2 linked regions of the Rattus norvegicus genome follow. The protein of the gene in region 1 binds, or shares a complex with, the protein of each later gene. Links are inferred from orthologs where the notes say so. Each region holds a gene or a part of one and is shown on either strand. Other genes may lie near its edges. The genes, in order: Csf3r and Csf3.

Region 1 (3,807 bases):
GGGATTTAGCTCAGTGGTAGAGCACTTGCCTAGCAAGCGCAAGGCCCTGGGTTCGGTCCCCAGCTCAGAAAAAAAGAAAAGAAAAAAAAGAAGAAGAAGAAAAAAAAAAACCTCTCATCTCATCTATCCATCTATATCCTCCCCCATCCATCTACAGCCCCCACCATCAGACTGGACACATGGTGGCAGAAGAAGCATCTGGATCCTGAGACAGTGAGAATGCAGCTGTTCTGGAAGGTGATTCTCTGAAACCCCTTCCAACCCTCCTAAGAGAGCCCCAAAGTAGGGCTCAAAACTGCAGTGTGCCTGGGAGGCAGTTTGGAAGCACGTTACACATACTTCAGAAGCCTCGGGGAGAGACTGCAATACAGGGTTCTAGGGTCACCTGTGCTGACTGTCTTCTTCTTTGTCTCCTAGATCTTCCCACAGGGGAAGAGAGGGAGGTGGGGGATGTCTTATGGCCCAGTTCTTATGACTGGTCCCTGGCCCTCAGGTACTGACCAATTCACCATGAACTAGACAACTCCCTCACCATCTTCTTCCTCACCCACCACAGCCAACACCCCTGCAGAAAGACAGTGGACAGATCCAGGGCTACCTGCTCTCCTGGAGTTGCCCAGATGGGCAAGGGCGGATCATGCACCTCTGTAACACCACAGAGCTCAGCTGCACCTTCCACCTGCCCTCAGAGGCCCAGAACGTGACCCTTGTGGCCTACAACTCGGCGGGGACCTCCTCCCCTACTCTGGTGGTTTTCCTGGAGCACGAAGGTAAAGAGGAGCTGAGCAGCCGAGAGCAGCATGGGAACTCGAAGGCAGGACTGCCTATGCCCTTATCTGTCCAGTCAACCACTTGCTAACAGAGTGGCCGGGACAGGTGACTGCCCTTCCTGGCCCGTTGTCTCCAGAACCTGCAGGTGTATGCACTAACATTGTTAGCCAGAACTAGGTTAGTCTGGGAGAATATACATACCAATATATATACCTGCATAGACATGTTGTGTATATGGATAGATGGATGGATGGATGGACGGACAGACAGACAAACTATGATTCCTGCTTACAAGTTGTGTGTATATGAATATAGCAGCTGGCAGACAACCTCAAATGTCATTTTTGGGTGCTGTGTACTTTTTTTTTTGGAGACAGGCTCTCCCACTGGTCTGAAATTCACTGTCTCTACCTCCCCTGTGCTGGGTTATAAATGCCACACACTGTTTCATTTGCTGTTGTTTCCATGTGGAAACTGGGGACCGAATTCAGTGCTTGCCTCATAAACACTCTGCCAATTAATTTATCTCTCCCCAGCCCTGAGCCGTGTGTGCCTTTTTAAAAATTTGTTCATGTATTTTATGTAGATGAGCGCTCTGTCTTCTGGTACATCAGAAGGAGGAGTCAGATCTCATTACGGATGGTTGTGATCCACCATGTGGTGCTGGGATTTGAACTCAGGACCTCTGGCAGAGCAGCCAGCGCTCTTAACCACTGAACCATCTCTCCAGTCCCGGAGCTGTGTGGTCTTTAATAAGCCTTTCAGCCTCTCTGTATCTCCCTTTTTTACTCATTGATAAAATGAGACAACCGTGGAACCTCCCTGGTGTGACTGTTGAAGAACTCAGTGAATCACATATATTAAGCTAAATGGTGCCAGGCTCTGTGCTAGACTTGTTCTGGGCACCCTCCTTTAACACACACAAGCCTCTACAAAGTGGGGATTTTTTTGATTGTCACTTCCACATTACAGGTGAGGAGCTTGATGATCAGGTACTGACATACCCTGGATCACAGAGCTGTTGGCAAAGGCAGGATGTGGATCCAAGGGTCTAGTCCTGAGGCCTGCGTACCTTTCATCTTCTCTCCTATGTCTTTCTTTATCTCCAGGTCCAGCTGTGACCAGCCTGCATGCCATGGCCCAAGACCTTGGTAGCATCTGGGTAGACTGGGAAGCCCCCAGCCTTCTGCCTCAGGGCTATCTCATTGAGTGGGGCCCGGATTCCCACAAATACAGCAATAATTCCTGGAGGATAGAGCCCAATGGGAACACCACTGGAATTCTGTTAGAGGGTGAGACAGGCCTGGGACAAAGGGATGGGTTGAGAGATAGGAAAAAGAAACAGAGTGAGTGTTTGTCTAGAGGTAGCAAGGGACAGTTGGAACCTCCCTATAGAGGCAGTCTCCCCAGCCTTTTTTTCCTCCTCTAGCCCATACTCCATTCCTGTTCTAGCTCTCTGTTCCATGTTCCCTTTGTAGCCTCCATCAAATGAGCTAAAAGAGATCTCTGAGATTAGTCAAAATAAGGCCATGCAGAAATGAGAGTCTGAGGCTGGGTAGCAGAGGTTAGCCCCCAAACCTTAGTGCTGTCCCTTGTTCTCTCTGCAGACAATATACATCCCTTTCAACTCTACAGAATCACAGTGGCTCCCCTGTACCCAGGCACCGTGGGACCCCCTGTAAATGTCTACACCTACTCTGGAGAGAAAGGTTTGTCTACCCTCAGTATTACCAGAATCCTCTCCTCTCTCTCTATCTGGGCTCTAGCAACTGGGGAGTATGAGGATAAATGTATTCTTTTACTTCTGGCCTCTGAGGTGGGTGCTTTCCATCATGGCTTACACTGGGCTCCCCAAAGCTGGGCAGAAGATGGAGTAATAGACAGGGAGAGAATCAGGGATGAAGCGAGTTTCACAGATCAATCCATGGCCCCAACAGAAACCCAGGATCACAGCTGAAAGAATTGAACCAAGTACCTGACATGATTCAGAGGGTGAGTGACTGAAACCAGATACCAAGTCGTGTAATACCAGATGTGGCAGAAATCAGACAGCAAAGATTCTCAAGCAGATAGAACCGACTCAAACCCAGGCTAGGCTCTGCCTCTGGGAGCCATAAACTGAATTCACATGAAATCCTGATTGGAGTGGGGAGCTCTGGACAAAGTGGCATCTATCTCTGACCTTAGCAACTCTGATGAGGTAGCATTGTGATTTTGAGGACAGCCTGAGCCATGTGGTGAGACCACCCCCCTCTCAAACAAACAGAGTGCCCCCTAATTTTTTTAAGATTTATTTATTTTATTTATATGTGAGTACACTGTAGTTCTCTTCAAACACTTCAGAAGAGGGCATCAGATCTCATTACAGATAGTTGTGAGCCACCATGTGGTTGCTGGGAATTGAACTCAGGATCTCTGGAAGAGCAGTCAGTGCTCTTAACCACTGAGCCATCTCTCCAGCCCCAGAATGCCCTCTTAGAAGGGATCTTTATCTGTCTGTCTGTCTGTCTGTCTGTCTGTCTGTCTGTCTGTCTGTCTATCCGTCCATCCATCGCTACCTGTCTCTTCCAACCTCTACCCCCATATTTGCTTTTGGTTTGGGGTTTTGTGTTTGGTTTTTGTTGGTTTGGCCATTGTATGATGTGCGTGAATGGACGCACACGTGAATGGACGCACACATGCCGGAGTGCCTGGAGGTCAGGGACAGCTCTGTATGCTTAGTTCTCTCAGTCCATCTTTGACTGGTGTGCTGGTTTTCACCATCAATTTGACAGAACCTAGAGTCACCTGGTCTAAGGAACCTCAGCAATTGCCCATATCATATTGGCCTGTGATTACTTTTATGAGAGATCATCTTAATTGACTGACGTGGGAGGGCCCAGCCCACTATGGGAAGCGCCATCCCTACTTAGGTGTTGGATATGAGTATGTATGCATGAGAAAGCCAAAGCAGGTCAAAGAGCTAGTTAGTAAGGAGCATCCCTCCATGGTTTCTGCTTCTGTTCCTCCTTGACTGTACCCTCTGACTTCCCTCAA
Region 2 (4,280 bases), on another chromosome or scaffold:
GTGGGGGTGAAAAAGTTCAGAAAGTACCAGCCTGAGATGCCACCAGTCAGACAAGGGATCCCTTCCTCCTTTTTAGGCAGTAAAACCCTGTTGGGACTGAGACAGAGGCTGGGTTGTCCCTCCAACCCTACTACCCATGATTGGGCAAGGCATTTATTTCCCTCTCTGACCCAGTTCACAGGGTTGAAAACACCCAGGTCCGTTCCAGAGCTAACACTGGACAGATATCTAGGACTGGAGGTGCAGCTTCTCCGTTCTCACCCCAGCCTGCTTCTACTCAAGCCAGCTCACACCACTGCTGGGTGATGAGGAGAGCATCAGGACGCCACATGTGCCAGCCTCTGACACCAGATGCCCCCGACTGGCTCCGCTACAGCGAGGTAATCTGTGACGGGAAATAGAAAGGCAGGGTCAGGTGAGCAAGGAGCCCCAAAGGGTCTTGATTCATTCAAGACAGACATCCGGTTTCCTCTAGCCTCTCTGCCAGGATCTAGGGGCTTAAAAAAATGAGTCATAATGGGGGTATTGGGGAGTTCCCAGCTAATCAGCCTGGGACAGAGTGGCTTGAATGCTGGATCATTTTGTTTTTATCCAAATGGGCGGGCGCAGACAGCAAGACCCTAGGTGCTGTGAAGGGCTCCTGGCACTACAGGAGGCAGCGGCCTTATGGGTACAAAATGAGAACAGGTTCTCTCTCTCTCTCTCTCTCTCTCTCTCTCTCTCTCTCTCTCTCTCTCTCTGAATGTTTGTCCCAGGTAGGGGGCTACCCAAGCAAGTCTGTCAGAGGATAGAGAGAAGGAGCAGTCCTGACCTCGGGGCCAGCCTCTTCCCCAGGGTCTGAGTTCCCTGCTGAACCCAAAGCAGCTCAGCCTTGTTGGACAATTCAGATCAAACACCCTGCAGCAACTCAGGCCTGGGTGTGGCTGGAAGAAAGGAAGAGAGTTTGAGGGGGGGACAAGACGTCAAGGAAGGAACAGAGATTCCCCGATTTCATAAAAACTTTCGCAAACAGCTTTTCCCCAACCCCCTGCATTGTCCTGGGCGATAGACAAATTTGCATAAATCCTGGGAAGTTATTACTAAGCCTGAGTTGCCCCAGCCCCAGGTAATTTCCTCCCGGGGCCTTGATGGGTTTATGTATAAAGGCCCCCTGGAACTGGGCCCTGGCAGAGCCCAGAGCTGTAGCCCAGATCACCCAGAATTCATGGCTCAACTTTCTGCTCAAGGACGCATGAAGCTGATGGGTGAGTGCCCTGGTTACCTGCTCTGGGTGTGGAACGGAGGGAGGCTGGAGTAACAAGTGCCTCAGACCCGTCTGTTTGCTTCCAGCCCTACAGCTGCTGCTGTGGCACAGTGCACTATGGTCAGGACAAGAGGCCATTCCCCTGCTCACCGTCAGCTCTCTGCCACCATCCCTGCCTTTGCCCCGAAGCTTTCTGCTTAAGTCCTTGGAGCAAGTGAGGAAGATTCAGGCCAGGAACACTGAACTGCTGGAGCAGCTGGTGAGTGGGGTTGCTCTAGGTGTGGAGGGAAGAACTTGGGAGGGGGCAGGCTAGGGACACACAGCAGTGACAGTGTTTGCCTAGTGTGCACAAGAGCCTGGATCGCACCCTCAGAATACTGATGGAAACATAACATGGGGCACAAAAGGGACAGGGAAGAAAGAGACAGCAGTGGGACTTCTGGATGAGACTGTCCTTAGGGTCACTAGGAAGGTAGGGAACTGAGACGTCAGGTGGATGAAGAAATCGGAGGACCAGAGCTGGACGAACAGCCTGGCCCAGGTGAGAGCCCTCAGTGTCCTTCCATCTATAGTGTGCCACCTACAAGCTGTGTCATCCGGAGGAGCTGGTGCTGTTTGGCCACTCTCTGGGTATCCCCAAGGCTTCCCTGAGCAGCTGCTCCAGCCAGGCCTTGCAGCAGGTGAGTATTTGGAAAAGGAGGAACAGGAGGAGGAAGAAGAGAAGGAGGAAGAGGAGGAGGAAGAGGAGGAGGAGGAAGAGGAGGAGGACCAGGAGGAGGAAGAGGAGGAGGAAGAGAAGGAGGAGGAGGAGGGTCAGGAGGAGGACCAGGAGGACCAGGAGGAAGAGGAGGGCCAGGAGGAGGAAGAGGAGGAGGAGGATCAGGAGGAGGAGGAAGAGGAAGAGGAGGATCAGGAGGACCAGGAGGAAGAGGAGGAGGGCCAGGAGGAGGAGGAAGAGGAGGAGGAGGATCAGGAGGAGGAAGAAGAGGAAGAGGAGGATCAGGAGGACTAGGAGGAGGACCAGGAGGAAGAGAAGGGATCACATCCTAGTATTTGTCTCCTGAAGAGAGGGGGTATCCCAAGGCCTGCTCCCTAACCCTCCTATTGTCCCCAGACAAAGTGCCTGAGCCAACTGCACAGCGGGCTCTTCCTCTACCAAGGTCTCCTGCAGGCCCTAGCAGGCATTTCCTCTGAGCTGGCCCCCACCTTGGATATGCTTCACCTGGATGTCGACAACTTTGCCACCACCATCTGGCAGCAGGTGAGCACCATCTGGAGGGGGTCACAGCAGCGTGCCTGGGCACCCTGGAGCCTCTCTCTTATTTCTAGAGGCCTGGGTATGGGAAGACACCCCTCGCCCCCTGCCCCACTTCCTTCAGGCTGAGAGACAGACTGGGTTGGAGTCTTGATTGTGCTGTTCATGAGCCCCACAGGCTAGCTTACCACCTTCCCAGCACTCCCTTGCCTGCAGGAAGGACTGATCCCTGACGTCATCTCCTCCCCCACAGATGGAAAGCCTCGGGGTGGCCCCTACTGTGCAGCCCACCCAGAGCACCATGCCAATCTTCACTTCTGCCTTCCAGCGTCGGGCAGGAGGAGTCCTGGTCACTTCATACCTGCAGAGCTTCCTGGAGACAGCTCACCACGCTCTGCACCACTTGGCCTAGGCCTGCGCAGAAAGCACTTTCCAGAAAGTTTATTTATCTCTATTTAATATTTATGTGTATTTAAGCCCACTATTTAAAGACAAACAAGAGAAAATGGAGCTCTAAGCTTCTAGATCCTTCTCTCCACTTCTGAGTTTTGTTCTCCTGCTTGGAGCAGAGAGAGAAGGCTCTTGTGTCCTCCTGTGGAGGGCAGGGAAGGAGATAGGTAAATACCGAGTATTGATTCCTGCCGCTGCTCCAGGCACCCCATTCTGTGGTGGTACCCAAGAAATCACATTGAGCCCTGCTGTGCTGAGGCACCTGTCTCAGGGGCCCAGGCAGCATCTGGTCTCCCTTCTGGGGGACAAGACATCCCTGTTTAATATTTAAACAGCAGTGTTCCCAAACTGGGTTCTTACATCCCTTGCTCTGGTCAACCAGGTTGTAGGTTTTCCTGACCCCGTAGGAATGAAGTCCCTAAAGAAACAGTGGCGGCCAGGTTTGGCCCTGGAATTGACCGGATTCTTTTTTAGGGCCTTGCTGGCCTAGAACTGGGAGTGTGGGAGGGAAAAGGCACAAGGAATCCTGTGGGGAGTGCGTGGCATAGAGGAAGGCTGACCTGTCTACCCTCCCTCTCGACCCCACTTGTCACTGTAACCAAGCTTGCGGATAATAAAGTGTGTGTGTGCCCAGTAAATGTTTTCCTTCTTGGGTTTGGCTAATGCCTGGCCAGGGGCTGGTGGGTGGCAGGAGAGACCAGATAGAGAAGGTACAGGGAAGAGGAAGCATGTTCTGGTGACCAGTTCTCTCGGTGCCACTCTGTATAGTCTTGAACTATGTCGTTGGGACCTGACACTAAAAGTGCCCACAGTGTCCCTGCCTCAAAGAAGCCACAGCTTCTTGGGAAAGAAAAAAAAAGTTGATGGATCATAAATCAGTGGGAGAGAGGAGGCCTGGGGCTGGGGACAGGCTGAGCTGCAGCCAGGGCATACTGAACAAGTGCAGGGGCCTGGTCTCTTCACCACCTATGACCAGCAGCCCTCTGCAAAGCTCCCCGCACCCTCCCTTAGACTGACACCATGCCTATTACAGACAGAAAGCCTACTTCATGTGACCACTGGGTCAGAACTAGGGTTCTGGGTCGCATGGCTTTCCCTCAGCAAGCTCCATCTCCCCACAATCTCGTGCTTGGCTCACTCCTGAGCTGAAGAAGCCCCGCAGAGTAGGGAAGCACACTTCAGCTCAAGGTCAGCTGCAGGCTCCCCTGTGGTTCAGGCTAACCTATCACTGCCCTCCACAAAACTGTCTCCTCCCTGCCTCCCTCCCCACCTCTTTCCTTCCCTCAGCCTCACAGGCCATGTCCCTGGACTGGCAGTCTACGGAGGACAGAC

The links.
Region 2: the proteins of Csf3r (region 1) and Csf3 are in contact, whole or in part, in a crystal structure (PDB 2D9Q), measured with the Homo sapiens proteins. The link is inferred for Rattus norvegicus from reciprocal best matches to the Homo sapiens genes CSF3R and CSF3. Residues at the interface, in NP_000751.1 of Homo sapiens: Arg164, Arg190, Lys191, Leu193, Leu194, Leu195, Tyr196, Gln197, Asp220, Met222, His261, Ile262, Asn263, Arg311, Pro313, Leu314; in NP_000750.1 of Homo sapiens: Ser42, Leu45, Lys46, Glu49, Gln50, Arg52, Lys53, Leu141, Asp142, Asp145, Thr148, Thr149, Gln152.

What each region holds. Positions count from the first base shown.
Region 1 is NC_086023.1:143,593,105-143,596,911, forward strand, and holds part of Csf3r (granulocyte colony-stimulating factor receptor precursor), read left to right. Parts: intron 1-157; coding exon 158-237; intron 238-556; coding exon 557-770; intron 771-1,880; coding exon 1,881-2,063; intron 2,064-2,378; coding exon 2,379-2,480; intron 2,481-3,807. UniProt on the Homo sapiens protein: Receptor for granulocyte colony-stimulating factor (CSF3), essential for granulocytic maturation. Plays a crucial role in the proliferation, differentiation and survival of cells along the neutrophilic lineage.
Region 2 is NC_086028.1:84,156,275-84,160,554, forward strand, and holds Csf3 (granulocyte colony-stimulating factor precursor), read left to right. Parts: upstream 1-1,210; 5' UTR 1,211-1,231; coding exon 1,232-1,244; intron 1,245-1,329; coding exon 1,330-1,502; intron 1,503-1,815; coding exon 1,816-1,923; intron 1,924-2,357; coding exon 2,358-2,504; intron 2,505-2,751; coding exon 2,752-2,910; 3' UTR 2,911-3,586; downstream 3,587-4,280. UniProt on the Homo sapiens protein: Granulocyte/macrophage colony-stimulating factors are cytokines that act in hematopoiesis by controlling the production, differentiation, and function of 2 related white cell populations of the blood, the granulocytes and the monocytes-macrophages.